5 linked regions of the Macaca fascicularis genome follow. The protein of the gene in region 5 purifies or fractionates together with the protein of the main gene of each other region. This does not show direct contact. Links are inferred from orthologs where the notes say so. Each region holds a gene or a part of one and is shown on either strand. Other genes may lie near its edges.

Evidence for each region.
Region 1: the proteins of PES1 (region 5) and NOC3L purify together in Homo sapiens (affinity purification with mass spectrometry; 3 studies listed by BioGRID and IntAct, counting the BioPlex papers as one, with this or other methods). This does not show direct contact. The link is inferred for Macaca fascicularis from reciprocal best matches to the Homo sapiens genes PES1 and NOC3L.
Region 2: the proteins of PES1 (region 5) and RPL7L1 purify together in Homo sapiens (affinity purification with mass spectrometry; 4 studies listed by BioGRID and IntAct, counting the BioPlex papers as one, with this or other methods). This does not show direct contact. The link is inferred for Macaca fascicularis from reciprocal best matches to the Homo sapiens genes PES1 and RPL7L1.
Region 3: the proteins of PES1 (region 5) and WDR12 purify together in Homo sapiens (co-immunoprecipitation; 7 studies listed by BioGRID and IntAct, counting the BioPlex papers as one, with this or other methods). This does not show direct contact. The link is inferred for Macaca fascicularis from reciprocal best matches to the Homo sapiens genes PES1 and WDR12.
Region 4: the proteins of PES1 (region 5) and DDX27 purify together in Homo sapiens (affinity purification with mass spectrometry; 4 studies listed by BioGRID and IntAct, counting the BioPlex papers as one, with this or other methods). This does not show direct contact. The link is inferred for Macaca fascicularis from reciprocal best matches to the Homo sapiens genes PES1 and DDX27.

Annotation. Positions count from the first base shown.
Region 1 is NC_088383.1:103,103,149-103,108,407, forward strand, and holds part of NOC3L (nucleolar complex protein 3 homolog), read right to left. Parts: intron 4,421-5,259; coding exon 4,292-4,420; intron 3,562-4,291; coding exon 3,464-3,561; intron 419-3,463; coding exon 334-418; intron 1-333. UniProt on the Homo sapiens protein: May be required for adipogenesis.
Region 2 is NC_088378.1:128,658,589-128,665,068, forward strand, and holds the start of RPL7L1 (ribosomal protein uL30-like), read right to left. Parts: upstream 3,684-6,480; 5' UTR 3,411-3,683; coding exon 3,370-3,410; intron 2,132-3,369; coding exon 2,026-2,131; intron 1-2,025.
Region 3 is NC_088386.1:98,767,005-98,772,782, forward strand, and holds part of WDR12 (ribosome biogenesis protein WDR12), read right to left. Parts: intron 4,985-5,778; coding exon 4,878-4,984; intron 1,863-4,877; coding exon 1,747-1,862; intron 391-1,746; coding exon 236-390; exon of another isoform or gene 5-235; intron 1-4.
Region 4 is NC_088384.1:105,298,250-105,304,708, forward strand, and holds the start of DDX27 (probable ATP-dependent RNA helicase DDX27), read left to right. Parts: upstream 1-2,367; 5' UTR 2,368-2,400; coding exon 2,401-2,493; intron 2,494-4,199; coding exon 4,200-4,346; intron 4,347-5,533; coding exon 5,534-5,593; intron 5,594-5,847; coding exon 5,848-6,010; intron 6,011-6,459. UniProt on the Homo sapiens protein: Probable ATP-dependent RNA helicase. Component of the nucleolar ribosomal RNA (rRNA) processing machinery that regulates 3' end formation of ribosomal 47S rRNA.
Region 5 is NC_088384.1:21,080,530-21,086,307, reverse strand, and holds part of PES1 (pescadillo homolog), read right to left. Parts: intron 5,539-5,778; coding exon 5,429-5,538; intron 2,754-5,428; coding exon 2,582-2,753; intron 2,495-2,581; coding exon 2,405-2,494; intron 1-2,404. UniProt on the Homo sapiens protein: Component of the PeBoW complex, which is required for maturation of 28S and 5.8S ribosomal RNAs and formation of the 60S ribosome.

The sequences.
Region 1 (5,259 bases), on a different chromosome or scaffold from region 5:
AAATATTTAAAGTATGAGTTAGAAATTACTTATGCTATAAGCTAAAGTCAACCTGTGAACAAAGTTGAAAATGGCAACAGCTGACACCAACACATGCAACACAATGACAGATGCTTGGTAAGTCTTGGACATATCCTATATTGAATGAAACAGTTTCATGACCATCTCTGTAGAATTTCAACCTCAAATATCCATCCTATGATGAACTCCTAAACATTAAAAATAAAAATAAAAATAAACTGCCTATAAAATAACTAAGCAAACTGGAGTTAGAGTTATTGAGATACATTGGTTTCTATCTCTTCTTTTAAAAAAATGAAAAATATCCCATACCTTTATTTTGGGGTTTGAAGATTCAACAGGAGGATTGAATGTCATTTCTGCCATGCTATACGCCTCAAAAAGTTCAGCAGCAGATCTAAATCACAAACACAAATGTAAAGATACCACCACATCTGTGTAACTCAAAAATAATTAGATTATACTCAGAGAATGATTCATTCTTAACCCATTTATTAAGGTATAAGATAGTCCTGCTTTTGAAACTAACCAACCAACCCAGTCACTTAACAAATTCTAAATTCCCACGTAATGTCAACATTATCCAACTAAATCCACCTCAGAGAGGTTTGGTATACATTAGCAATACAGGCATAGACTCCAGAGAGAAAGCTAAGCTGAAGAACTTCAGTTCAGTGTGATCAAATCCCAACCCACTGATAATGCAACTGAGTCTATCTTAGTCATGGGAGCCAGAGGACTGAAGCATGGAGTCATTCTCCATAGACTTAGAACACAGCTCAACTCTTTGCTACTGGCCTGGATAAAAAACAAGGAAAGGCCATTCAGGACAGAATACATGTCTATACCCATGGCGTGTAAATGAACCCTTAATGACTTGGAATTAGCTCACACTCTCCAAAACAGATAGGCAAGGGCCTACGAGGGTAGCAATTAGGCTCACATCCCAATACCCATTCTCCAGAAGCCCACTATGAGTCTCCTTTCTTAAGCCTTTGGGATAAGCCCATTCCTCATGCTTCTCCACAAAGGAAACATCTTTCCTTAGCAAAACTGCTAAGGAAAACATGTCATATAACGATTATGAAGAGTGACAAAGAATTGTTTTCTTCTTTTTTCCTCTTTTAAAAAACAAGGCTGTTGGGGTGAAGACTGGGGACAGGTGAGAAGTGTGAGGGAAGAAAAAGTAAATGGCCATTTTATTTAATAAGGACAAAAGTTATCTCCACCCTACTCAGAAGGAAAGCGTTCATGGAAAACTGCAGAGCTCTTGCCTCATGTAGAGGAGGCAGCAAATGACTGACTACTGTCATGTAAAATACAAGCCAATGTCACCAAACCTCCCAGTATTTCAAGAAAAGCAGGAAATGTGAATTTCAGATGAATTCTTTCAATATTTAAAAGACAGCAACTAATTTGATTTTTTTCAAACTCTTGAGGCCAGAAAAATCAGCCTGGCCCAAAGGTCACCAATCTGAGATCTCTGAATTATAGAAACCAATGGGCTTGCAAAAGGAAAAAACCTACAGCAAGATATTAATTCTGGGTAATAAGTACACTGTAAGGTGCTGTAGTTTGAATGTGTCCCCTCCAAAATTCAGACATGGAAACTTAACAGTCAGTGTGATGGTATTAAGTGGTGAAAGCTTTAAGAGATGAAAGCCATGAATGGGATTAACCCATTTATGCCTACTACTGTCCTAAGCTTGTAGGAGTTATTTATATCCTACTGCTCAAGGTCATCACCCAAGGTCTGATTTTTCACACACAAAAAAATTTGCCACCTCTGGCATAAATGGGTTAAAGTCTTTATAGAAGAGGCTTCATGAACTTAAGCTGTGGCCCTGCTCCCCTTCTGTCCTGTCTGCCATGTGAGGGTGTAGGGTTCCTCCCCTCCAGAAGACACAGCAACAAGACGCCACCTCAGAAGCAGAGAGGCGCCCTCATCAGTCAACCAAACCTACCAGCACCCTGATCTTCAACTTCCAGCCTCCAAAATTGTGAGAAAATAAATTTCTGTTCTTTTTTTTCAGACAGAGTTTCGCTCTTGTTGCCCAGGCTGGAGTGCGATGGCGAGATCTCGACTCACTGCAACCTCCACCTCCCTGGTTCAAGCAATTCTCCTGCCTCAGCTTCCCAAGTAGCTGGGACTATAGGAACCCACCACCACGCCTGGCTGATTTTTGTATTTTTAGTAGAGATGTGGTTTCACCATGTTGGCCAGGCTAGTCCTAAACTCCTGACCTCAGGTGATCCACCCGCCTCGGCCTCCCAAAGTGCTGGGATTACAGGTGTGAGCCACCGAGACTGGCCCTCTGTTGTTTATAAATTACCCGGTCTTAGGCATTTTTTATGGCACCATAAATGGACTGAGGGATTTTTTATACCATTTTCTCTCTTTCTCTGTATAACTGAAGTATTTCCTGTCTGTATGTAAAAAAAGGTAATTACTGGCTGGGCGCAGTAGCTCATGTCTGTAATCCCAGCACTGTAGGAGGCCACGGTGGGCAGATTACCTGAGGTCAGGAGTTCGAGACCAGCCTGGCCAGCATGGTGAAATCCCATCTCTACAAAAATTACAAAAATTAGCCGAGCATGGTGGCGGGTGCCTGTAATCCCAGCTACTCGGGAAGCTGAGGCAGGAGAATCATTTGAACCCGGGAGGCGGAGGTTGCAGTGAGCCAAAATCGCGCCATTGCACTCCAGCCTGGGTGACAGAGCGAGACTTCCTCTCAAAAAAATAAAAAAAGTAACTATTATTTTTTCACCTTTCTGCACTTGTGAAAATTTTCTAAATCAACAGTTCAGGGAAAAGAAGATTCTTTTAGGAGGACTTTTTCCTCATCTGGGTGTGAGGTGGGTGCTGGAAGTACCCATCCAAGCTGCTTACAGGTCAGAAGGTAGTCTGCAAGGGCCAAAAAAAGAAACAGCTGCCCTTCTGGATGGCAGTGTTCCAAAGCACCTCTTTTCTTCCCTATCCTCACTGTTTTTTTTCTCCTCTTCTTGCCCTAACAGGACCATTCAGAAAAAAAAAAAAAAAAGAGACAGCAAGAAAGCAAGGAAACTTAATTTGGTTGACTTGTGTTTTATCTTCACATGAAGCACCTATAGCCATAGATTATTCATTGTTGAACCTGAGTGATGGGGGGCATATGGACATTCACTATACCATTCTACTCTCCTGTATGTGTGAAACTTTTCATGATTAAAAAAATGTTTTTCAAGTTGAATGACATAAGAAGAAAAAAAATGTTTTAAGTGATTAACAAAATCATAGCATGTTTTCTTTCAGAACAATTCAGGAATATGAAGCAAGACCAACCCAGATACCCAACTGGCACTTTACATTGTGTAATATATTACTTTATAAAACAGACTTCTCATAGTAAGTGGCTACCAGCTGAATTTTGTAGTTTTAGAATAAGGCAATGCTAAATATTACCTTCGACTCAACTCTGGTTTGAGTGCTCCAGAGCCTTCAGAAGGTGCTCCAGCGATCAGGTGGGCTGCAAATCTCTGCACTATGGGATGATAATGCCTCTGAAGGGGAAACAGGACAATCACATTTTGCACAGGTCAGTCCTTTACAAAAAAACACTAGCCACAGCAAAGATTTTCTTAAATGAAAGTACACCAAATTTTTTTTTCATCACCTATGTACAGTATATGTAATTCATTAGAAGCACATAGCCACAGAAATATTATCTTTGCTCATAGGATTAAAACACAAATCAAGTTACCAGTGAAGTAGTTTATCTTGCTTTTACAATATAAATAGAAAAATCAAAAAGCAATTCCTCTTTCCGAGTGAAAAAAGTTAATTTACAACAGGTTACCTGCCACTTCTATTTTCTACAAGTCTCACTCTAATGTTGTCCACACTGTAGGATCACTGTATAGGTGAAACCATCTTGAAACAGGGCTTACTAAAGTCTCCTAGGATAGGACTCAACAGAAATGCACCTGCTAACAAATCCTCTGAAGAGTGTTAGGGAAAGATTTCAATAAAGGGAAAGATTTCAGTAAATCTTCCACAACCTCACCCCACAGAACTGACAGTTTTCTGCTTCCTTAGAAAATGTACCTCAACAGCTTAAAAAATAGTAAGAGCAAAGTAAAATGTAGCATACTAACACAGGAATTCTAAAAAAAAGCAGCCCCAGAACAAAATATAATTAAGTACTCTGGCAATAACAACTATTTGAAGAAAAACTGGAAAACAATTGTTCACACACATCCCCAAAAAGAAAAAAACGAGGGCCACTCTTACCCGCAGAGCGTGTAGTTCCCACAGAGCAGTGTTCTGAGCATTGCAGTATTCAGGCTCATCCAGTTCAGGAAGGAAAACTCCACTTCCCTGAGATTCACTGTCAAGCAGTAGATCTGTTTTGGGGAAAGTCTGCAAAAATGTCACATAAAAAGAATTGGTTAAATTAACATTGTTAATGTAAAAGGTGTTACTGGTTTGTAGTTGTATTTGCATTTAAATTTATAGTTGTATAAGAAGAGCTTTAGCTCTTTAGGTGTAAAGTGTTTACACCTAGTTTTAATAAAAAACAATTTTAAGTTTATATCGTAAGAACAAAAGTTGCAAAAAAAATTTTATCTTTGTCTTTAAAATGTTATCTTGCAAAAGAAAACAATATTCTTTTCACCTTGCAATCCCACTTTTAGAAATCTGATAGAAATAATTACATCAGATAAATACAAAAAGATATTCACTATAGCATCATTTGTAATAGCAAAAAAAGAAATAACCTATATCAAGAGAAACAGAAAAACCAGACTGCCTACATTTGAATATCACTTCTACCACTGACTGGCACTGCTACTCAAGACAAGACACTTAACCTCTCCGGACCTCAGTTTTCCCACATGTAAAACAGGAAGAAGAATAGTAGCTACCTCAGAGTTATGAAAATTAAATTTTTGTAAGGCATAACAGTGGAAGGCACATAGTCAGAACTATGTGTTTGTTAAGCAAAGAACTAAATAAACCTTACATAGACATTAAAGAGATAAGAGTAGTGACATTATGTGTTTACCACGATTAAAATGCTAAGGTTAAAAAAGTGGTAGAATATATAGCATAATCCTCTTTCCATTAAAATACAAAGTTGTGTTGTTTCTATGTGTATGTGTTTATATATGAACTTTAAAAGACTGCTGGAAAAATACCCACCAAATGATAAATGGACACCCAGCTAATGACACTCTGAGAAGTGTCAATAGGTACAA
Region 2 (6,480 bases), on a different chromosome or scaffold from region 5:
AAGGTGGAGTTGAGTAAACTTGGGAATTACTGGGAAAAATAATTAACAAACAAAAAATTAGTTTGCATGATATTAATCAATGCTTACTAACAAGCTTCCTTAAACTCAACGCCAGCATTTGCCTGCAGGTGTTAAATATTTGCTAAAGGAAGACATACACCATATACACTTGGTGCTCTGCATCCGTGATTTAACCAACCCCAGATGGAAAATACTTCTGAGGAGCACATACACAGTGGCTCACCTGTAGTCCCAGCTACTCAGGAGGCTGAGGCAGGAGGTTCTCTTGAACCCAGGAATTCAAGGCTGCAATGAGCTATGATCCTGCCACTGCACTTAGTCTGGGTAACAGAATACCTCATTCTTTTTTTTTTTTTTTTTTGAGATGGAGTCTCGCTCTGTCACCCAGGCTGGAGTGCAGTGATGCGATCTCGGCTCACTGCAACCTCTGCCTCCTGGGTTCAAGCAATTTTCCTGCCTCAGCCTCCCAGGTAGCTGGGATTACAGGTATGTGCCACCACACCTGGCTAATTTTTATATTTTTAGTAGAGATAGGGTCACCTTGTTGGCCAGGTTGGTCTCGAACTCCTGACTTCAGGTGATCCACCTGCCTCAGTCTCCCAAAGTGCTGGGATAACAAGCGTGACCCACCATACCTGGCCAAAGACCCCACTTTTTTTTTTTTTTGAGACAGGGTCTCGCTCTGTCACTCAGGCTGGAGTGCAGTGGCACAATCTTGGCTCACTGCAACCTCCGCCTCCCGGGTTCAAGCAATTCTTCTGCCTCACTTCCTGAGTAGCTAGGATTACAGGCACATGCCACAGCGCCCGTCTAATGTTTTGTATTTGTAGTAGAGATGTGGTTTCACCATGTTGGCCAGGCTGGTCTCGAACTCCTGACCTCAAGTAATCCACCTGCCTCGGCCTCCCAAAGTATTGGGATTACAGGCGTGAGCCACTGCGCCCTGCTGACCTCTTAAAAAAAAAAAAAGAAAAAAAAAAGAAAAAAAATTCGGGAAAAAAATGAAAAAAAAAAAAAAACAGTAAAAAGTAATACAAATTTTAAAAATACATTATGTACACTGTATTAGCTATCAGTAACCCAGGCCAGGCAGGGTGGCTCAGGTCTATAATCCCAGCACTTTGAGAGGCCAGTGGGTGGATCACTTGAGGCCAGGAGTTTGAGACCAGCATGGCCAACATGTTAAAACATCTCTACTAAAAATACAAAAATTAGCCAGTGGCCATGTGGGGTGGCTGATGCCAGTAATCGCAGCACTTTGGGAGGCCGAGGTGGGTAGATCACTTGAGTCCATGAGTTCCAGACCAGCCTGGTCAACATGGTGAAACCTCGTCTCTACTAAAAATACAAAAATTAGCAGGGCATGGTGGCACATCCTTGTAATCCCAGCTACTCGGGAGGCTGGCGCAGGAGAATCGCTTGAACCCGGGAGGCGGAGGTTGTGGTAAGCCGAGATCACATCCCTGTACTCCAGCCTGGGAGACAGGTGAGACTCTGTCTCAAAAACAAAACAAAATTAAATTAAATAAAAAAAAAAATTAGCCGAGTGTGGTGGCTAATTTAGCTAAAATTAGTCACATGCCTGTAATCCTAGCTACTTGGTTGACTGAGGCAGGAGAATTGCTTGAGCCCAGTAGGCAGAGGTTGCAGTGAGTCGAGACTGTGTCACTGCACTCCAGAACACAGTGAGACTCTTGCCTCAAAAAAAAAAAAAAAAAAAAAAGCTATTAAGTAATCCAAAGAGAATTTAAATTACATAGGCGGAAGGAGTACAGATGATATGCAAATACCACAACCATTTTATATAAGGGACTTCAGCAGTCTCAGATTTAGGCATCTGTGGGAGTCCTGGAACCAACCCCCTAAGGACACTGAGAGACAACGATACCTGGTTTGTCAAACTGTTGCGGGGAGCTCGTAAATACCAAATGTAGTCCAACACATGCTGGATAAAACTCACCTAATACAAATTCTAATTACTTTATCTTGGTTCCCCACCATTACCTCCTTCTTTGCCAAAAGTGCCTGCTTTGCCTGGGTGGCTTTGAGGGCTTGATAAGCCTTCCTCTTTTTCAGCAGATTTTCTGGAACCAAAGGGATTTTTCTTTGCCTGATGCAGAAAATTGAGATCAGAGATAACATTTAGAAAACGAACACTTGAGGCCGGGCGCGGTGGCTCAAGCCTGTAATCCCAGCACTTTGGGAGGCCGAGACGGGCGGATCACAAGGTCAGGAGATCGAGACCAGCCTGGCTAAATACGGTGAAACCCCGTCTCTACTAAAAAATACAAAAAACTAGCCGGGTGAGGTGGCGGGTGCCTGTAGTCCCAGCTACTCGGGAGGCTGAGGCAGGAGAATGGCATAGACCCGGGAGGCGGAGCTTGCAGTGAGCTGAGATGCGGCCACTGCACTCCAGCCTGGTCGACAGAGCAAGACTCCGTCTCAAAAAAAAAAAAGAAAAAGAAAAAGAACACTTGGCTGGGCGCGGTGGCTCAAGCCTATAACCCCAGCATTCTGGGAGGCCGAGGTGGGGGGGGGATATCACCTGAGGTCAGGAGTTCGAGACCAGCCTGACCAACATGGTGAAACCCCTGTTTCTACCAAAAATAAAAAATTAGCTTGGCGGGGTGGCGCACGCCTGTAATCTCGGCTACTCCGGAGGCTGAAGCAGGAGAATCGCTTGAATCCGGGAGGCGGAGGTTGCAGTGAGCCGAGATTTCGACACTGCACTCCAGCCTGGGCGACATAGCAAGATTCCGTCTCAAAAAAACAACAACAACAACAAAAAAAACGAACATTCAATGGATTTCCAAACCAAGTCAATATCCTGGGCTTCAGGGAACATTACTGTTTTCAAGTGTCTGAAGAAAGATTCCCCTGAAACCTGCGGTTTCTGACTCCAGGCCTCAAAATGTACCCCTAATATTCACTCATCCCCAATGCCTCAAAAAGTAAAGAGCCCTTTAGCCTCTGCGTTCCTGTAAGTTAACAGGATTTTCACTGCCACAGCTCTTCATAGGCACTAGCAGCGACGAATCTAGTAAAACCCCATGGGGTTGGGGTGGGTGCAGACCTATCTGCAGGGTTAATACTTGTCAGGCTGGGTGAATTCAACTGTGGCACTCCAGCCCGCTGCCTGAAGTCAATCCTCGCCTCTCTAGATAACCCGAAATTGACCGCGGTCCCCTCCCTCCTCCGCCACAGCGCTACGGCTTCTCATCCCCACCCTTTGTAAACTGTGGCCTTTTCTATTCCTAGAGCCCACAAGAATCCGCCACCGAGGCATAAACACCGTGGATGGCACCAGATACTCAACACCCAATTCCAGATATTCAAAGCCCCACTCACTCTTGCTCCGCCATCTTTCTAGTGGTGCAGCTACTGATCATGCGCAACCCCAACACATGCGGAAGACAGCACTCGCTCTGTTTCCTTGACCATAGAGATGTCTGTTCTAACTCACGCTGGAGGACCCAGACAGTCAGCGGTCACTTAGCCGCAGTGAGCCGCTGAGGTCCTGCTAACCCCGATTCCTGCCAAAAGTTGCAGCGCTTCCAGGGTTTTTAGAGCCTGTATCATTTTCAAAACCCAGCCCTTTTTTTTGTAAGTTACAGTTTCATCACAAACAGCTTGGCTGTGGACAATGAAGTGCTTCCCACAATGCACCTATGGCGTCCGCTCTAGCGAAGGCGCCGCACTTCCGGCGCGGCTCTGCTGCGTCTCTGAGGAGGAAGACAGACAAATTGCGGGAAACCTTTTCGCTCTGTGGAAAAATTTGGAGGCTATGGTTTTGGCTCTCACATGTAGGTGCAAGTGTTTATTGAGGACTTAGAGTGGTAAAACAGGTAGCTGCGATTCCGTCAGCTTGGCTCCGTCGATGGATCCTTGAAGACGTTATTTAACCCCTCTGTACTGCGGCTTCATTACCCATAAAATGGGTATACAGTAATAATAGGTCTACCTAATGGCGTTACGAGGATTACAGGAGATTATATAAAGCGTAAAGCGTTTAGCAGTGTCTGTCAGCACTATGTTTGTTACTATTACTGCTGGACCGAAAACTACAACTTGCTTCCTTGCCATCTAAAACCGTTATACAGACCGGGCGCGGTGGCTCACGCCTGTAATCCCAGCACTTTAGGAGGCCAAGGCGGGAGGATCACCTTAGGTCAGGAGTTCGAGACCAGCCTGGCCAACATGGCGACAGAGCAAGACTCCGTCTCAAAAAAAAAAAAAAAAAAAAAGGAATGAAAATAAAACCCTTATACAGCTGTCATCACCTGGAATATGCATTCTTCCCTCCCGGTCTATATAAAATCCTGAAAAAGTAGGCCGGAGCCGGTGGCTTTCACCTGTAATCCCAGCACTTTGGGAGGCCAAAGCAGGTGGATCACTTGAGGTCAGGAGTTGGAGACCAGCCTGGCCAAGATGGTGAAACCCCGTCTCTACTAAAAATACAAAAAATTAGCTGGGCGTGGTGGCTCGCGCCTGAAGTCTCGGGAGGCGGAGGCTGCATGAGCCCAGTTTGTGCCACTGCACTCCAGCCTGGGCGACAGAGCGAGAGTGTCTCAAAAAAATAAAAAAATAATTTTTTTAAATTAAAAATCCTGAAAAACAACACAAGTCTTATCTCCGCAAACCTCCAGAGCAGCGCTTCTCAAGCATTAATAGTGAATAGGAGTCATCTGAAGATTTTACTAAAATACAGATTTTTATTCAGGAAGCCGGGTGGGGAGTTGATATTCTGCATTTTTTTTTTTTTTTTTTGAGACGGAGTCTCGCGCTGTGTCACCCAGGCTGGAGTGCAGTGGGGCGATCTCGGCTCACTGCAAGCTCCGCCTCCCAGGTTCACGCCATTCTCCTGCCTCAGCCTCCGAGTAGCTGGAACTACAGGCGCCCGCCACTACGCCCGGCTAGTTTTTTGTATTTTTAGTAGAGACGGGGTTTCACCATGTTAGCCAGGATGGTCTCGATCTCCTGACCTCGTGATCCACCCGCCTCGGCCTCCCAAAGTGCTGGGATTACAGGCTTGAGCCACCGCGCTCGGCCTTTTTTTTTTTTTTTTTTTGAGATGGAGTCTTGCTTTGTCCCCCAGGCTGGAGTGCAGTGGCATGATCTCGGCTCTCTGCAAGCTCTGTCTCCCGGGTTCACGCCATTCTCCTGCCTCAGCCTCCCGAGCAGCTGGGACTACAGGCGCCCACCACCATACCTGGCTAATTTTTTGAATTTTTCGTAGAGACGGGGTTTCACCGTGTTAGCCAGGATGGTCTCGATCTCCTGACCTTGTGATCCGCCCGCCTCAGCCTCTCAAAGTGCTGGGATTACAGGCGTGAGCAACTGCGCCCGGCCAATATTCTGCATTTTTAACAGGCTTCAGAATGACACTGGTGCTACTGGTCTATGGGCTGACTAGTAAGACTCTAGTGTCTGATTTCCCTCAGGACATTATTATATATTTAATATTTCTTCCACACGATACTAGGAGGTCAGGAACCATGACTGCTTGCTCATCACTGATCCTAAGGGTCTAGCACCAATTTCTCGATTTTGGCACTATTGATACTGATACTGGTGGCAGCTAAAGGCCTCGTGTTGCCATGTAACTAGTCCAACCGGAAAGACTGCCATGGGCACAGGTCACTTTCTGATGAATAAGTGTCAGGACAACCCAGTATTCAGGGTCACACACTGAAAGAGGGAGGCCCATTCTCTTTCAGCACCTCACCGTGTGTCTTTGTAAAGAGGCAAAATACAAGGGTCATCAAAGTGTAAGACATTCACTAAATAGTAAACAAAAAAGCAAAAAGTTAAATGTTTTGTGATTTTTCCTGTCTATGGATAAAAGGTAGAGTCTGTGGTATCAATAATATTAAAGGGAGGAGGAATTTTAGGGTTAACAATACTCCAGCCGGGCCCCGATGGCTCACACCTGTAATCCCAGCACTTTGGGAGGCTGAGGCGGGCAGATCACTTGAGCTCAGGAGTTCAAGACCACCCTCAGCAACATGGCAAAACCCTGTCTCTACTAAAAATATAAAAATTAGCCGAGCATGGTGGCATATGCCTGTAGTCCCAGCTACTTGGGAGGCTGAGGCACGATAATTGCTTGAACCTGGGAAGCAGAGGTTGCAGTGAGCCGAGATTATGCCACTGTACTCCAGCCTGGGCAACAGAGCCAGACTCTGTCTCAAAACAACCCCCAAAAAACCAGTACTGCAAGGCTGAATGGGATCGAGGCCAGGATTCAGGAAATGGTTTTCTACTGCCAGCAGATGGTGCTAGGAGAATACTTATTCTCAGCGCCAACGCCATTACTCCACCAGACTGACACAGGGAGAAAGAAAAGAGCCCCACTCTTAAACAATTATTCATTAACTGAATATGTGTTTACTGAGCATTGAGCATGTGTCCTAGATCTTTTTTTCAAAGTGAGGTTACTGAGGTCGGGTGTGGTGGCTC
Region 3 (5,778 bases), on a different chromosome or scaffold from region 5:
CCACCTCATTTCTTAAAATTTCTGGTTTATATAAGGTTCTAAACCAGGGATATTCAAACTGAGCAACTGACTATCTCCTACTGTATGAGTATTTACTCTTGCTTTGAAATCCTATCTTTTGTCACCGATTGTTAGGAAACTAGGCCAACACAATGAATATATGTAAAAAAAAAATGTTTAGGAACAAGCTCCAATACTAATTTAACACAGTACTAATTACATTCCAGCTACTTACTTTAGTTCCTGAGCCATCAACAGCTACAGAATCTACACTTCCAGCATGACCTCTACAGCAGTGTAGGGCTTTCACTTTGTTTCTCTCTACATTCCACTCCCATAAAAGAATAGTCTGATCCATAGAAGCACTCAATAATAAGCAGGACAAACTATCTGAAGAAAGGAGAACACAAGAATAAGAAACAAATCAGTACACCATTTAGAATACATCATGTTCTGAAACCGAAGAACTAAATTTTTTTGTTATTGAAAAAGATGTTAAAAAGATAACTCATATATGGCCAGGTTTTAAAAGGCTGATATGGTATAAAGAAAAGATTTTTTAAAAATAGAAGATGATGGCTGGGTGTGGTGGCTCACGCCTCTAATACTGGCACTTTGGGAGGCCAAGACAAGCGGATCACTTAAGGTCAGGAGTTTGAGATCAGCCTGGCCAACATGGCAAAACCCTGTCTCTAGTAAAAATACAAAAATTAGGTGGGTGTGGGGGCAGGCGCCTGTAATCCCACCCACTCAGGAGGCTGAGGCAGGAGAACTGCTTGAACCTGGGAGGTGGAAGTTGCAGTGAGTTGAGATTGAGCCACTGCACTCTAGTCTGCGTGACAGAGTGAGACTCTGCCTCAAAAAACAAACAGGCCAGGCGCGGTGGCTCAAGCCTGTCCCAGCACTTTGGGAAGCCGAGGCGGGTGGATCACGAGGTCAGGAGTTTGAGACCAGCCTGGCCAACATGGTGAAACCCCATCTCTACTAAAAATACAAAAATTAGCCGGGCGTGGTGGTAGGCGCCTGTAGTCCCAGCTACTCGGGAGGCTGAGGCAGGAGAACCGCTTGATCCTGGGAGGCGGAGGTTGCAGTGAGCCGAGATCATGCCACTGCATGCTAGCCTGGGTGACAGAGCGAGACTCCATCTCAAAACAAACAAACAAGAAGAAAATAGATGAATGTAATACACTCAATATTAACTTGAGGCCAGGCGCGGTGGCTCAAGCCTGTAATCCCAGCACTTTGGGAGGCTGAGACGGGCGGATCACAAGGTCAGGGGATCGAGACCATCCTGGCTAACACGGCGAAACCCCGTCTCTACTAACAACACAAAAAATTAGCCGGGCGAGGTGGCGGCGCCTGTGGTCCCAGCTACTCGGGAGGCTGAGGCAGGAGAATGGCGGGAACCCGGGAGGCGGAGCTTGCAGTGAGCTGAGATCTGGCCACTGCATTCCAGCCTGGGCGACAGAGCGAGACTCCGTCTCAAAAAAAAAAAAAAAAAAAAAAAAAAAAATTAACTTGAAAATGTATATTATCTGATGCAATTTTAATAAATATTCACTTCTAACAATTTATGAATTTTTATATAATCTTTTTCTTCTTGAACACTATATTTTTTGAAAGACCTCATAATAACTGAGGTATGAGATGCTTCCTACCCACTCCCCATTCTTCCCCAGCACCAAAAATGGCTTATTTCCAAATCTCTATCTAGGATTCCTCGAAGTGTAAGGAAAATGTCCTAACCTTTTTTCACCCAGGCCACATCTTTTACAACATCCGTATGTCCCACAATTGTCATTATTGACTTTCCTTCCAAGGACCAGATCCGAGAAGTCTTATCATAAGAACCAGTCAAGATCCTATGAAGAGAAAAGAAATCTTATGAAACAGAAAAAGCAGTTTTTTTCAAACCCTGAAAATGAATTTTGTTTCTATGGCAATGACAAAGTAACTTTGAGGAGTATACTTTTAAACTCTTCTTTGATATGAAGATTGAGATTTCAAAACACACTAGATCAGATCACTTGATGTTTCTCAACCTCCTAAAAATAATACCTGGCATGACTGGGCGTGGCGGCTCAATCCTGTAATCCCAGCACTTTGGGAGGCCGAGACGGGTGGATCACGAGGTCAGGAGATTGAGACCATCCTGGCTAACACGGTGAAAACCCTGTCTCTACTAAAAATACAAAAAATTAGCTGGGCGTGGTGGCAGGTGCCTGTAGTCCCAGCTACTCAGGAGGCTGAGGCAGGAGAATGGCGTGAACCTGGGAGGTGGAGCTTGCAGTGAGCCGAGATTGCACCACTGCACTCCAGCCTGGGCAACAGAGCGAGATTCCGTCTCAAAATAAATAAATAAATAAAAATAATAATAATACCTGGCAAATCCTAGATTTCCTTTTTTTTTTTTTTTTTTGAGATGGAATCTAGCTCTGTCACCCAGGCTGGAATGCAGTGGCGCAATTTTGACTCACTGCCACCTCTGCCTCCCAGGTTCAAGAGATTCTACTGCCTTAGCCTCCTGAATAGCTGGGATTACAGGCACCCACCACCACGCCCCGCTAATTTTTTTTGTATTTTTAGTAGAGACGGGGTTTCACTGTGTTGGCCAGGCTGGTCTCGAACTCCTGACTTTGTGATCCACCCGCCTCGGCCTCCGAAAGTGCTAGGATTACAAGCGTGAACCACTGCGCCTGGCCGATTTCATTTTTATATTGTTGTAAATAATACAACTCTCACAAAAGCTACGCAAATTACTTGTAGGCCCTAACACAGGTTGAGCATCCCTAATCTGAAAATAAGTCCAAAATTCTCCAAAATCCAAAACTTTTTGAGCACCAACATGACACCACAAGTAGAAAATTTCACACTTGACTTCATAATGACAGGCTGTAGTCAAAATGCAGTCAAAATTTTGATTCAGGCACAAAATTATTAAAAACATTGTATAAAATTGGCCGGACGTGGTGGCTCACGCCTGTAATCCCAGTACTTTAGGAGGCTGAGGCGGATGATTCACGAGGTCAGGAGATCGAGACCATCCTGGCTAACATGGTGAAACCCCATCTCTACTAAATATACAAAAACAAAATTAGCCAGGCGTGGTGGCAGGTGCCTAGACTCCCAGCTACTCGGGAGGCTGAGGCAGGAGAATGGCCTGAACCCGGAAGGCAGACCTTGCAGTGATCTGAGATCGCACCACTGCACTCCAGCCTGGGCGACAGAGCGAGACTCCGTTTAAAAAAAAAATACATATATATATAAAAAATATATAAAATATATATATTATATATTATATATTATATATACATAATATAAAATTACTTTTGGGCTAGGTATATAAGCTATATATGAAACATAAATGAATTTCATGTTTAGACTTGGATCACGTCCCTAAGATATTTCACTATGTATATGTTAATACTGCAAAACTACCCCCCCCCCAAAAAAAATCCTAAATCCAAAACACTTCTGGTACCAAACATTTCCAGATAAGGAATACCCAACCTGTAGTGCTCTTTTTTTTTTTTTTTTTTTTTTTTGAGACAGTCTTGCTCTGTTACCCAGGCTGCAGGGCAGTGGTGTGATCTCAGCTCACTGTAACCTCTGCCTCCTGGGTTCAAGTGCTTCTCCTGCCTCAGCCTCCCGAATAACTGGGACTCTGGGCATGGACCACCATACCCGGCTAATTTTTTATATTTTTCGTAGAGACAGGTTTCAATATGTTGGCCAGGCTGGTCTCAAACTTCCGATCTCAAGTGGTCTACCTGCCTTAGGCTCCCAAAGTGCTGTGATTACAGGCGTGAGTCACGCGCCTGGCTGTCAACCTGAAGTACTTTGTACTCAACCAGTGAAAACCATTTAAACTAAAACTAGTAGAAACATAACTTTATGTAATAACTCCAGGGAGATGTTCTCTGAAAGAAGTAAGCTCCTACTATAATCTACTCTTGAGGTGTTTTCCTAAACGCAAGGCCAGTGAGGATTTGCCCTGAGATATCTATACCTTCTTTCTTGAGTACAGTCTGCTCTTTCTAGCCCTAAAAGAGCATGCTATGCATCTTTATGGTATTAGGCCAGGAGATCTATGGCTAAAAAGGTTACTTTTTTCCTCTATGAAACAAACTATATCCTTGGTCTTAAAAGCAACATAATCAAACCAAATAAATTAAATGCTCTAAGATACACGACTTATTCAGAAGACAAACATAGATAGGTGTAGAGAAATCCCATCTATTCAGGAGGCTGAGGCAGTAGGACTGCTTGAGCCCAGGAGTTTGAAACCAGCCTGGGCAACAGAAGGAGAACCCGTTTAAAAAAAAAAAAAAAAAAAAAAGACAACAGTAATTGTTACTATTACATCTTGAACAGAACAGAGTATCCATTAATAAATACCTGTTTCTTTTTTTTTGAGACGGAGCCTCGTTCTGTCGCCCAGGCTGGAGTACAGTGGGGCCATCTTGGCTCACTGCAAGCTCCACTTCCCAGGTTCGTGCCATTCTCCTGCCTCAGCCTCCCGAGTAGCTAGGACTACAGGCACTTGCCACCATGCCCGGCTAATTTTTTGTATTTTTTTTAGTAGAGTCGGGGTTTCACCATGTTAGCCAGGATGGTCTCAATCTCCCGACTTCATAATCCACCCGCCTCAGCCTCCCAAAGTGTTGGGATTACAGGTGTGAGCCACCGTGCCCGACCACCTGTTTCTTCTTGAAGACACTGAGTGCAAAGATCTTTCTGTTTGGCGTGGCCACTGATATAGAGATCACAAAATTAATTTACAAATAACAGTAAATCACAGAAAAATATTTATATATGGATTTAAAAAGACTGAAGGAGGTAAATGAAAAAAGAGAAGAGCATTAATCTGGCAATACCATTCCTCTGCCCCTTTAATTGAACTGATCCAGTCATCATGGAACATGCATTGCTCTGGCTGGGGTGCAGTATACTTCTCCACGTATTCTATTTCCACAACTTCTTCCTAGTCACAAGAGAAACCAGCAACAAGTCAGATGGTACAGTTTTAAAATACTACATTATGAAGATAAAGAACCCCAATTTAATATATCTCCTTCATATCCTTCATATTAGTCCCCTTCATAACTCAGCAAATTTGGAGCCATTCAAAAAGTCAAGAACTTTATTTGACCTAACAGTAAGCTAAGAGTGATTATTAGGAAATAATAGCTTGGCATGGTGGCTCACACCCGTAGTCCTACCTATAAACATTAGGAAATCTGGGGCAGGAGGACTGCTTAAGCCTAGGAGTTCAAGTCCAGCCCAGGCAACAAAGCAAGACCTGTCTCCTAACAAAAAATTTAAAAGGAAGAAATACTAATGGCCTTGTAAAACTTATGCTGAAAACAGGGGGAAAAAGAATATAAGAAAGCCTTAGGCCAGGTGCAGTGGCTCACACCCGTAATCCCAGAACTTTGGGAGGCTGAGGCGGGCGGATCACCTGAGGTCAGGAGTTCAAGATGTGCCTGGCCAACATGGCGAAACTCCATCTCTACTGAAAATACAAAAATTAGCCAGGCGTGGTGGTGGATGCCTGTAATTCCGCTGCTTGGGAGGCTGAGGCGCAAGAATCACTTGCACCCAGGAGGCAGAGGTTTCAGTGAGCCAAGACTGTGCCACTGCACTCTAGCCTGGGCAACAGATGGAGACTCTGTCTCAGAAAAAAAAAAAAAAAGAAGATATAAGAAAACATTAAAATTAAGAATAAAAGCATATTGTTTAATGGGTACAGGTCTTCTGTTCAGGATAAGGAAACAA
Region 4 (6,459 bases), about 84 Mb from region 5:
GCCCGCAGGAAGCATAAATGTGTGAAGAGTGTGGTGCTCCCAGGGTGCAGAGAGATCTAGGATGAGAGGATGAGCTGAGCGTGTGGATTCTACTTAAAGCAGCAGGTTCTCAACCGTGATAATTAGGAGACAATTTAGGTTATCACAATGGGTGAGAGGGGTGCCTCTGGCATTTAGTGGGTGCAGGCCAGGGATGCTGCCTACCATCCTACCATGCACAGGGCAGCCCCCACAGCCAAGACGGAGAAATTCCTGATTTAAAGGAATTAAAATTGTTTTGATGTCCCTGATTCTACATTGGTCTTTGATGTTGTGATCCTTAAACTAGATTTTAAATAAAGGAGTGGTTGGATCTCATTTGCATTTTATTATTATTTTTTTGTATTTTGTATTTTAGTAGTTTTTTTTGTACTTAGTAGAGATGGGTTTTCATCATGTTGCCCAAGCTCGTCTCAAACTCCTGAGCTCAGACAATCCTCCTACCTTGGCCTCCTTAAGTTTACAGGCATGAGGATCCTCCTTACGAGGATCAATCCTCCTAAGGATTACAGGCATGAGCCCCCGCACTTTTTGCATTTTAAAGACTTTGTTCTGGCTGCTTCGAGGAGAGGAAAGTGGAGGGGATAAGTCTAGAAGACCTGTGTGGTAGTTACTGGCCGATCGAGAAAGGAAGGACGGCAGTGAGGGTGGTGGGGAGGTCTCCATGTATTCAATACAACACATAGTCATTCATTCTTCATTTTTTGAAATAAAGGGTCTCGCTCAGTCACCCAGGTTGGAGGGCAGTGGCGCGATCATAGTTCACTGCAGCCTTAACCTGGGCTCTGGGGATCCACCTGCTTCAGCCTCCTGAGGAGCTGGGACTACAGGCGTGTGCCACCATGCCCAACCATGCTCTGTCACCAGGCTGGAGTGCAGTGGCACCATCTTGGCTCACTGCAACTTCCAACTCCTTGGTTAAAGCAATTCTCCTGCCTCAGCCTCCCATAAGCTGGGATTACAGGCACGTGCCACCATGCCCAGCTAGTTTTTGTATTTTTAGTAGAGACGGGGTTTCACCATATTGGCCAGGATGGTCTCGATCTCTTGACCCCGTGATCCGTCTGCCTTGGCCTCCCAAAGAGTTGGGATTACAGGCATGAGCCATCGCGCCCAGCCAACATTATTTTTAATTTAAAAAAAAAAAAAATATATATATATATATATATATATATATGAGATGGGGTCTTGCCATGTTGCCCAGTGTTGTCTGGAACTCCTGAGCACAAGCCATGCACCCACCTGGCCTCCTCAAGTGCTGTGACTAAAGGTGTGAGCCACTTTGGTCTTGATTTTTATTTTATTTTCTTTTTTTTTTTTTTGAGACGGAGTCTTGCTGTGTCTCCCAGGCTGGAGTGCAGTGGGTGATCTCGGCTCACTGCAAGCTCCGCCTCCCGGGTTCACGCCATTCTCCCGCCTCAGCCTCCCAAGTAGCTGAGACTACAGGCGCCCACCACCACGCCCGGCTAGTTTTTTGTATTTTTAGTAGAGACGGGGTTTCACCATGTTAGCCAGGATAGTCTCGATCTCCTGACCTCGTGATCCACCCGCCTCGGCCTCCCAAAGTGCTGGGATTACAGGCTTGAGCCACCGCGCCCGGCCTTGATTTTTATTTTCTTCTGAGATTTTTTTTTCCCCTATAATAAACATTAATTTTCATTAAAAAGTTTCGGGCTGGGCGCAGTGGCTCATACCTGTAATCCCAGCAGTTTGGGAGGCTGAGGCAGGAGGATTGCTTGAACCCAGGAGTTCGACACCAGCCTGGGCAACATGGTGAAACTCCGCCGGGCATGGTGGTGGCGCCCGTACTTCCAGCTACTCAGAAGGCTGAGGCGGGAGGATCGCTTAAGCCCGGGAAGTCGAGGTTGCAGTGAGCCATTATCTCCACTGCACTCCAGCCTGGGGGACAGAGCCAAACCCTGCCTCAAAAAAAAAGAAAAGAAAAGAAAAAAAAGAAAAAAAAATTACTTAGAATTTTACCACCCAGAAACAATCACAGCTAACTGCTTATTGTATTTTCTTCTACATTTTTTTAATATAAATATCCACATCTAGAGTTTATAAATGCAACTCTTTAGCCTCTCTCACCCCTTGCACTTTCCTCAAACATTTCCACCATCTTGAGGCCGGAGACCGTGGAATTTGCTTACCGAAAAAATCCCCTCCCCTTGATGTCGTCATACGAAACTACGCCCCAGATTGCCGCATGCGCACTCTTAAGAGGTCGAAACGGGGAGATGGGCAGGGGCTCTCGAACGGAAGTGACGCATGGTACATGCGCAATGACGACGAGGAGGTGGTAAAAAGTCAAGTGCTGGCCCGCACGCTGTGCTCGCTTCCGGAAGTGGCTTCTGCGACAACATGCTTGCAGACCTCGGCTTAATCGGGACCATAGGCGAGGATGACGAGGTGCCGGTGGAGCCCGAGTCTGACTCTGGTGACGAGGAAGAAGAGGTATGAGGACGGTTCTGGTCTTTGGGCTTCCTTGACTGCTTCTCTTCCCCGCGATTCCTCAGGTCCCTGTCCCCGAATCCTCATCATCGCCTGCCAGCCCGGGAAGTTTCCCTAAAAGGATCTCGCCGGGACCCCAAGATCTTCCTCAGTTTTCCGGCGACTAGGTTTTCTCTACGTCCGCCTGCTTCTTTGGCCGTGTCGTTCCCTGTCTCCTTGCTGAACTCAGTATCCATTCACTGAATTGATATTTAACCACGCACTGTGTAAGAGACATGCAGGTCTCTTACACCTTGTAAGAGGTGAAGTCAGCCCTGGTTCCTGCTCAAGGAGCCGTGGTTAGCTGTCCATTCATATGTTCATCGAGCCAGTGTTTATTGTATACTTATGTGTGCTAGACCTAGTGTTAAGCGTTGGGGACGTAGCAATGAACAAGGTGAGTGCCACTCTTCTGAAGCGTATGGTGGTGTGGGGGCTTGCAGATATTAAGCAGTATGGCAATTAAAGAGGGATCGGTGTTCTGAAAAGGATGCTTGCCCTTCAAACATTCAGCCCAGATGTTGTCCCTTCTGCAGTCTCATCTGTCCGCTTGATACATTTATTCAGATGTCCCATGGCCTCTACAAATTCAACTCCTCCAAAGTTGAACTTGTGTTCGCTCTCATCCTGTTCCCTTCTCAAGCCAGCAACCTTAGAGTTATTCTTGACAGTTTTTTCTTCCTCAGCGCCGCCAGTGCTCTGCAAGCTAGCTCATGAATCTCTCTTAAGCTTCTCCCGCCTCTCTCCATTCACACTGTACCCACCCTAGCTCCGGCCACTGCTGTCTCATGCCTGCACACCAGCACACCAGCACACCACCAGTCCAAACATACTTCATTTCTTTATCTTGAGCACTTCCAGTGTATTCTTCGCTTAGCAGCAGAAGGATCTCTTTGTGATACAGTCACGTTAGAGACCTCCCTTGCTTAAAACTCTCCAGCCTGCTGGTAGAGAGCCCCAGGCCTGTCCACTCTGCAGAGACTCCTCAGGCAGCCTGTGGGTCCTGCACACTGCCCCCATTTCCCTGATGTCCCCTGTGGGCGCAGGCGGCCTACTGGCTGGTGCAATCTTGGCTCACCACAACCTCTGCCTCCTGGGCTCAAGCAATTCTCCTGCCTCAGCCTCCTGAGTAACTGGGATTACAGGCATGCGCTACCACGCCCAGCTAATTTTTCTGTATTATTATTTTTTTTGAGATGGAGTCTTACTCTGTTGCTCAGGCAGGAGTGCAATGGTATAGTCTTGGCTCACTGCACCTTCTGCCTCCCGTGTTCAAGCAATTCTCCTGCCTCAGCCTCCCGAGTAGCTGGGACTACCAGTGCGTGCCACCACACCTGGCTAATTTTTGTATTTTTAGTAGAAACGGGGTTTCACCATATTGGCCAGGCTGGTCTTGAGCTCCTGACCTCGTGATCCGCCCACCTTGGCCTCCCAAAGTGTTGGGATTACAGGCGTGAGCCACCATGCCTGTCTTTTTTGTATTTTTAGTAGAGACTGCATTTCATCATGTTGGTCAGGCTGGTCTGGAACTCCTGACCTCAAATGATCCACATGCCTTGGCTTCTTAATGTGCTGGGATTACAGGTGTGAGCCACTGTGCCTGTCCCCTTCTTCCTTTCTATTGTTCTTTATCTCAGCCCCAAAGTCACTCTGTCTCTTACTCTTCCCAGGGGCCTATTGTGCTGGGCAGACGACAAAAAGCCTTGGGGAAGAACCGCAGTGCTGATTTCAATCCTGACTTTGTTTTCACTGAGAAGGAGGGGACTTATGATGGCAGCTGGGCCCTGGCTGATGTCATGAGCCAACTAAAGAAGAAGGTGAGTCTGACAGTGATGGACAGTTCCAGACCTTGGACTATTAAGATTGGACTGTGGGTTTCAGGGCCTAGTCCTGACCTGACTGACCATCTGTTTACATTCAGCAGATACTAGAACTCCTTTGAAAATAACTGGTTTAAAAAAAAAAAAAAAAAAAGAAAGTATCTGGTATACTTTTGATGAGATCACAAATGACTCACTGTCTTTTTTTTTTTTTTTTTTTTTTGAGTCTGCTTGCTGGGGAAGACTCGTCTTGATTAATACCAAATGAAGTATGAGCACTTGCCAGGTGTCTCCTGTGGTGTCACTGTGCAGTGTCCCTGCCCACACAGCACAGCCAAAGCTACCACAGATGTCATTGTCATCTGCTTGTTTGCCAAGATCCCATGCCTTTCTGTGAATCTGGTTAAACTAGAAGATGCATCCAAGTTATTTACCATTTCATGTGCATCAGAGAGAAAGATTGCCTGTCCAGAACAGTGTAATCCAGGCTTTGCTGGTCCTTGTTCTGATTGAAATAAATCAGCATTGCCTTTTCTTTTTTTTGAGACAGAGTCTCTCTCCGTTTCCCAGGCTGGAGTGTAATGGCGCTATCTCGGCTCACTGCAACCTCTGCCTCCTGGCTTTAAGTGATTCTTGTGCCTTAGCCTCCCGAGTCGCTGGGATGACAGGTGCCCACCACCACGCCCAGCTAATTTTTTGTGTTTTTTTTTTTTTGTTTTTGAGATGGAGTCTCACTCTGTCACCCAGGCTGGAGTGCAATGGTGCGATCTTGGCTCACTGCAACCTCTGCCTCCTGGATTCAAGGGATTCTCCTGCCTCAGCCTCCTGAGTAGCTGGGATTACAGGCATGTGCCACCATGTCCAGCTAATTTTGTATTTTTAGTAGAGATGGGGTTTCTCCATGTTGGTCAGGCTGGTCTCGAACTCCCGACCTTAGGTGATCTGCCTGCTTTAGCCTCCCAAAGTGCTGGGATTACAGGCGTGAGCGACTGCGCTCAGCCTTACCAGCATTGCCTTTTCAAGATCATCTGGAGAGGATTTTAAAATTTTTGTATATATAATATGTATATATATTTTCAGAGAATGCCAACATTTTTTCTTTTTCAAATTAATTATGAAGAATTTGTTCTCTTATTCGATGTTTCAATGAAAATTTCTTTTCACCTCTTTATTTTTATCTGCAGAGGGCAGCCACTACATTAGATGAGAAGATTGAGAAAGTTCGAAAGAAAAGGAAAACAGAGGTGAGAGGAAAAGTGGCTATTTCTCGTTGTTATGCCCCACACTTTACTCTCACCGCGACCCCAGCATCTCTCTGGAAGCCCTTACAGAGCGGGGCATGGCTGGGGCAAGCACGCTCTTCTGTGCGTTTGCTGTGCATCAGTACTGAGAATCCCCACAGCCGTCTGTTCAGGCCGGAGAGCTTCCTGTTGCTTTACTTAAGTTCTGGATCTGTAGAAGTTTGTCATCACCGTCGCTTTAATTTTTTTTTTCCCAGGTTAAAGAAGCCAAGTCTGGGAAGTTGGAGGAGAAGGAAACAAAGGAGGGCTCTGAACCAAAAGAGCAGGAAGACCTTGAAGGGAATGATGAGGAAGGCTCAGAAGATGAAGCCTCAGAGACCGACTACTCATCAGCTGATGAGAACATCCTCACCAAAGCAGGTAGACGTTACGGCGGAGGTGTCAGCAACGGGGACAGGAGATCAGAAGGCATCCTCCTTTATTTTGTAGGGTTTCCTTCACTCTTCTGCACAGTTTAAGATATTCTGCCTACTACATTGAACTCCATTGAACTCCTTTCTGTTTTTTTTTTTTTTTTTAAGAGATGTTGGCTGGGCACGGTGGCTCATGCCTGTAACCCCAGCACTTTGGGAGGCCAAGATGGGTGTATCGCTTGAAGCCAGGAGTTTGAGACCAGCCTGGGCAACATGGTAAAACCCCGTCTCTACTAAAAATACAAAAATTAGCTTGATGTGGTGGCATGGACTTGTAATCCCAGCCACTCAGGTGGCTGAGGCATGAGAATCACTTGAACCTGGGAGGTGGAGATTTCAGTGAGCCGAGATTGTCCCATTGTACTTAAGTCTGGGCCACAGAATGAGACCCTGTCT
Region 5 (5,778 bases):
CCCTGCGCCAGTTCTCCCACTCCCTTCAGGTCTAGCTCAGACTCGGAGACACCACTTTCTGACCCGGCCGGAGCTCCTGCCTTCCGCATCACCTAGCCCACAATCTTTGCTGCATGTCTGCTGCTGGGCTAGCGTGTGGGCACCAGGAGGGCGGTGCTCCCAGCGCTGTCCCTAGCCCAGAAGGGCTGGCAAAACCTTAGCTGACTAAGGTGCCTTGGGAAGGCCAGGCTCAGCGGGGGCGGGGGATGAATGGGGCTCAGGCCACCCACTGAGTCCCACCTCTGAACCTCGGGATGGACACTCAGAATTGAGTGACCCCTCCTTGGGCCCAAGCCAGGTCCAGAGCCATGACCCAAAGGGCTGGGGTAGGCTGGCAGCTGGCCTGGCTCAGCCCCCAGGCAGCTCTTGGGAAATGGCCAGCAGACAAACTACTTACTGCTCAGGGCAAAGGCAAAGAGCTGTCATCCCAGCAGCAGGGGACACAGAAGGCTTATCTTCGCCCTGGAGCAGCTAATAGGGCAAAACAGGGCAAAGAACTGAGGCCCAGACAGAAGCACCGCAACTCTTGAGCGGTTCTGCCCCCTAAAACCATGGAGGCCAAGCCAGCCCAGCTGGCTCCCAGGACGCAGCAGGATGTTCCGAGCAACATGAAAATCAGTAGTGATCACCATGAGTGCCGGGTGTGCCCATGACTCTCAGCTGTTCTGCTATTCTGCTGCCAGACAGTGACCTGTGCTGTGAAAGCACACAGGGCCAAGGGAAGTCCCGCCTGTCCCCCCACTCACACCTCCATCCTTCCATGAGAATCTGTGAGGGCCCCTGACAGGCACATCAGGGGACCAACCACATTTCCCACAGCCCAGCACTGAGCAGGGGGCCCCCGACCCTACAACCAGCCTGACTTCCACAGCTATGAACCCAACCCTGGCTGCTCACAGGAGGGGCACAACTGGGCTCCGCTACGACCTAGTGCCAGTCCTCCCCATCTGCTGAGAGGAAGCAACGGCTGTGAACTGGCCGGGGAGGAAAGGGGAATGGGTGGCTGGCTCCCTTCTCCCAGGGCCAGCTGTGTGGAGGCCAGCCTGCCCCAGGGCCCTGTTCACCAGCAGGGAGGACACACAAAGAGCAGTCTGAGTAGCATGGGGGCAGGACGTCAGAGAGATGGAAGGCCCAAGAGGAAGGCAGGAAGGAAGGAGGAGGAGAGAGGGCTGTGGAGGGGAAGAAGGAAGGGCCACCCATGCGTGCCCCATGAGGGGTGGGAACAGGGACTGCTGAGGGCCAAGCCCGCCTCTCACCGGCAAACAGGCCACAGCCTCACCACCAGGCAGCCAGTTAGGGTGGGTTCCAGCCCTTGCAACCCCACCCACAAGGGATCGTAAGGAACAGTCCAGAGCGCCTAGAGCCCCAGCTCCCCCTGGAGCCCCGATAATCTGGACAGCAGAGCCACTGTGCTAACTGGACCAGCAGCGGCTGCTCTCCACTGAAGGCACCAGTTCCCACTCAATGATCAAGCAAGGTGGGCTAAATGCAGGCCACCAGCACAGGGAGGCAGGAGAGGCTGGCCCCACCACCTGGGGGGCACTAGAAGCTAATGATGCCTCCATGAGGGGGCAAAACCAGGGTTTCTCTCAGTGGATCCCTGCCAACAATTCCCAGGATTTCAAATGGATAAAGAAAAAGGCTGGGCTCTGCGGCTCACGCCTATAATCCTACCACTTTGGGAGGCTGAGATGGAAGGACTGCTTAAGCTCAGGAGTTCAAGACCAGTCTGGGCAATGTAGTGAGACCCTATCTCTATTTTAAAAGAAAGAGAAAACAATATGTATAGGAAACAGTGCCACATGCTAAGTGCTTCTCCTGTGCTCACCGTTCCCCTTCTCTCCCAGTCCTTGAGTCCTGTGGGGCAGACAGGCGGGAAGGGGGAAGCAGAGGAGGGAGGCAAGGCCACTTGGCCAAGGTCTGGCAGTTATTGGCAGCAAAGCAGGGACAAGGACCCCAGTAGGTTTGAGGGCAGGGCTCTGCCACTGTCCCCATGTGGTGCTGGACGTGCAGGCCGGGTATGACCCTGGTAGCTGTTCTCACTGTTCACTCGGCCCCTAAAAGGCCAAGCACCAGGCACTGTTAAGGACGTAGACACTGTTAACTGCGGCACAGAGAGGTGAAAGGAACACGTCCAAGGGCATACAGCTGCCAGGTGCTGCCACAGGACTAGCTTAGGTTCCTGCTCTTAATGAGGATGCTGTGTGGCACATTCCCCATCTTGTTCTGCCCCACCTCACCCATCGTCAACAGTTGGGAACCCAGCACTTGCTAGACTCCATGAACAGCAAAATCCCCCTTCCTCCACACTTGTATCTGTCTAGGAGGCAGCACAAGCCCCTCCCCTCCCGACAGGCACACTCACATCATGGGAGAAGGCATAGGGAGTGATCCACACAATGGGCTGCCCCAGCACCTCGGCCTGGTAGTAAATGCCTTTGATGGACAGGAAGACCTGTGGGAGAGGAGACAGCTGGGTGAAGACCATGGTGGGCAGGAGAGGGCGTGGGGTGGGGTGCCCGCCAGATGGTCACAGGCTCACCTTGCGCAGGGCACGGGCGGCAATAATGTAGTGCATGAACTCCACAGTGAGCCGGCGGCACAGCTGAATGGTCTGCACGTGGCACTTGCCAGTCCGTGGGAAGGTGGAAAAGAGGAAGCACATGGAGAGGGCATCATCCAGGTCCCGCAGGGCATCGATGAATGTGGGGTACCTGCACAGCCAGTGGGGCAGCACATGGGGCCTGTTCAGCCTGGGTACCAAGGGGGGGCCCTGATCTCCTTACCCCACCCCAGATGCCCCATTCCTCAAGCCAGGCCTCACCACTGCCACCTCCTGACCTGGCAGGAGCAGCTTCCCCACATCTGACCACAGTCCTTGGGAGGAACCACTTAACCAGGACGTGCCCACTAGGCTCTGAGGACCAGAGAAGTCCTGATGGGGATCCTCAAGACACCCATTGCTCACCAAAGACCCAGCCTTGACCCACGTACGTATTTTGTGGTGCATGAAGGTAGACGGAGTCAGGGCCTCCATGACTGTCTTTGAAGGTGAACATTTAGTGCACGGACACTCTATAGAGAGGTCCAAGATGGAAAATGGGAAACCAAAGCTGCCCTAGTGGAGAAGGGAGCGGGGTGGGGGCTGCTTCCCCTAGGCAGCACTTATGTCTAGGCCTGGCCACAGGTCGCCAGCGTAGGTTCTAGCTTCCATGCTTCTCACCCCTTGGACCTGTCTAGTTGGCAGAACCAATAAGACCCAGGGAATTGGGTCCAGGAAGAGCCAGAGCAGAATGTGTTTCGGGGAATCTTGTGGTAAATGACAAAGCCAACACGGAGGAGCCACCCCGGGCACTGTGTGGCTGCCCTGTTGAGGGACAGAGGCATGGGTCACAGAGAAGACATGGAACCACAAGCAACGACACCTGGATTCCAGTCTTGGTCCGAGCTGTGACCCAGACTCTTCATTTACGACTGGGCTCTTGCAGCTCCCTAGAAATGCCTTGGGCCCAAGTGGACGGACAGAGCTTCAAGCTTCTCTCCCGCAGCCAGAGCAGCTGCCAGAGACGCTGGCATCCAAACTGCCTTCCAGGAAGCTACCTTTTTAAAAATCATTTTTGTTACTTTTCCTATTTTCTTTTTTCCAAGTGCTTCTTCAAGGAGAAGCAGCTTCCTTTTGAAGTATGGGTTCTGGCTGGGGGTTGGGCGGGGCAGCGGGAGGGGTGCAGTTTAAAAAAAAAAGAGAGAGAGAGAATGGGTTCTGCTACTTCAAAAAAGACTCCAAAATCCATGAGACCAGACACTGCCAAGGTCCTTCCAGCCCCAGATGGCATCACTTACTGCTACGAGTCAGAAGTCTACCAGGTCTTCAAACCCATGCCAAGATGGAAGAAAGGCCTGCAGAGACCTCTCATGAGGCAGCAGGATAGCTGTCTGGTTTCTTGGTGCAGAGGTGACAGCCTCAATTGGCCCTCTCTGGTGCCTTGTAGTTTCCTAACTCTCCACCTCACAGACAAAACCAACAACCCAGGCTTTCTGTAGAAACAGCGCCAGCATTTCCGGGCCAACTGCTTTTCTTTCTTAAGCTCTGGCTTTAGCTAAGGAGCTAGAGATGGTGTAAAATGAGATCACCACAACCACACCGTCACACTTGATGTGTGTGTATGAACCCAGGCACTTGCTTTTCGTGTGTGGCTTTTTTTCGTTTATTTCACCGAACACTGTGTGTCACAGGCAGGACAGGAACTGCCATCATCTCTTATGGAGGTGGGGACCTACTCGGGTTAAGAAATACCCTCTGGCCACCCAGCGCATGTGCCACACAGTTGGGATGGGAACACCGGCCGTCTAGCTCCTAGGCCAGGGCTCTTCCTGTGACAGCCCACAGCCAGGCTGGATGAAGCCAACCCGAGCCATCCTGGAGCTCAGTGTTCCTGGGCCATCAGCCCCCAAAGATGACAGACATTCACCAGCCCAGGGCTTCTGAACTTTACCACTACTGACATTTGGGTCAGACTACACTATGTTGTAGGGGACTACTATAGCGCATTTAGTGGCATCACTGGCCTCTCTCCACTTGATACCAATAGCACATCCATCCAAGTTGTGAGAACCAAAAGAGTCTCCAGACATTGCCAAATGCCCACTGGAAAAGCAAGATCACCCCTGATTAAGAATTGCTGATTTAGGCTGGATGTGGTGACTCACACCTGTAATCCCAGCACTTTGAGAGGCCGAGGTGGGTAGATCACGTAAGGTCAGCCTGGCCAACATGGTGAAACCCAGTCTCTACTAAAAACACAAAAATAAGGCAGGCGTGGTGGTGGTGCCTGTAATCCCAGCTACTCAGGAGGCTGAGGCAGGTGAATTGTTTGAACCTGGGAGGTGGAGGTTGCAGTGAGCCGAGATCCCCCCGCTGCACTCCAGGCTGGGCAACAGGGCAAGACTTTCTCAAAAAACACACGAAACAAAATTTGCTGATTTAGTTAGTGAATGAGGGGGACGTCTGAGAAGGCTGGGCAAGGAACAGTTCAGACCAGAAGTGTCTAGCCGTGCTTCCCAGGTCTCACCAGGTACCCGCCGTGCAGCCATGGGGCGCTGGGGCTCTCCCACCACAGGGCCTCTGCACTTGCCACGGCCTCTGCTTGGACTGTGCTTCCGCTGGCTGGCTCAGACGTCTCCCCTCAGAGCCCTGTCTGACAGCCCTGTAACTACAGACCTAGTAATCATTCTAGAAATTTGCTAGCTTGGTTTTTGGTCTGTGTCCTTCAAGGAGATGCAAGCTCTTTGAGCTGGGTCTTAGTCTTGTTCCCTACTGAATCCCTGGTGCTAGGACAGAGACCAGCAGTAAATGAAGAAACTGCGGTGTCCCGAAGACGGCCTGGCTCACCGTTCCTTGATGATGTGGTCAAGTTTGTAGTTCGGCTTATTGTCCTTTAGACGCTCTACAGTGTTCCACTCGCTCTTCCCATAGGCCTTCCGGAGCTTCCGGACAAACACCTGAAGGAAAGGAAAAGACCACTGATGCTGAGGCTCAGGACTCCTGGACAACTTCTATGGAAGATGGAAACGCAGGGCAGAAGGACTCTCATGCCCCTTGAAGCTGGCCATGGCTGTGTGCCTGTGTCACCGACCCCTCTGCCCAGGATATGCAAAAAAGCCAACTCCAAGGAACACCAAGCCTGGTGTGTTAACCAGCAGAGCTAGACCGGGCACCCTTTTTGACAATGCACAGGTGTC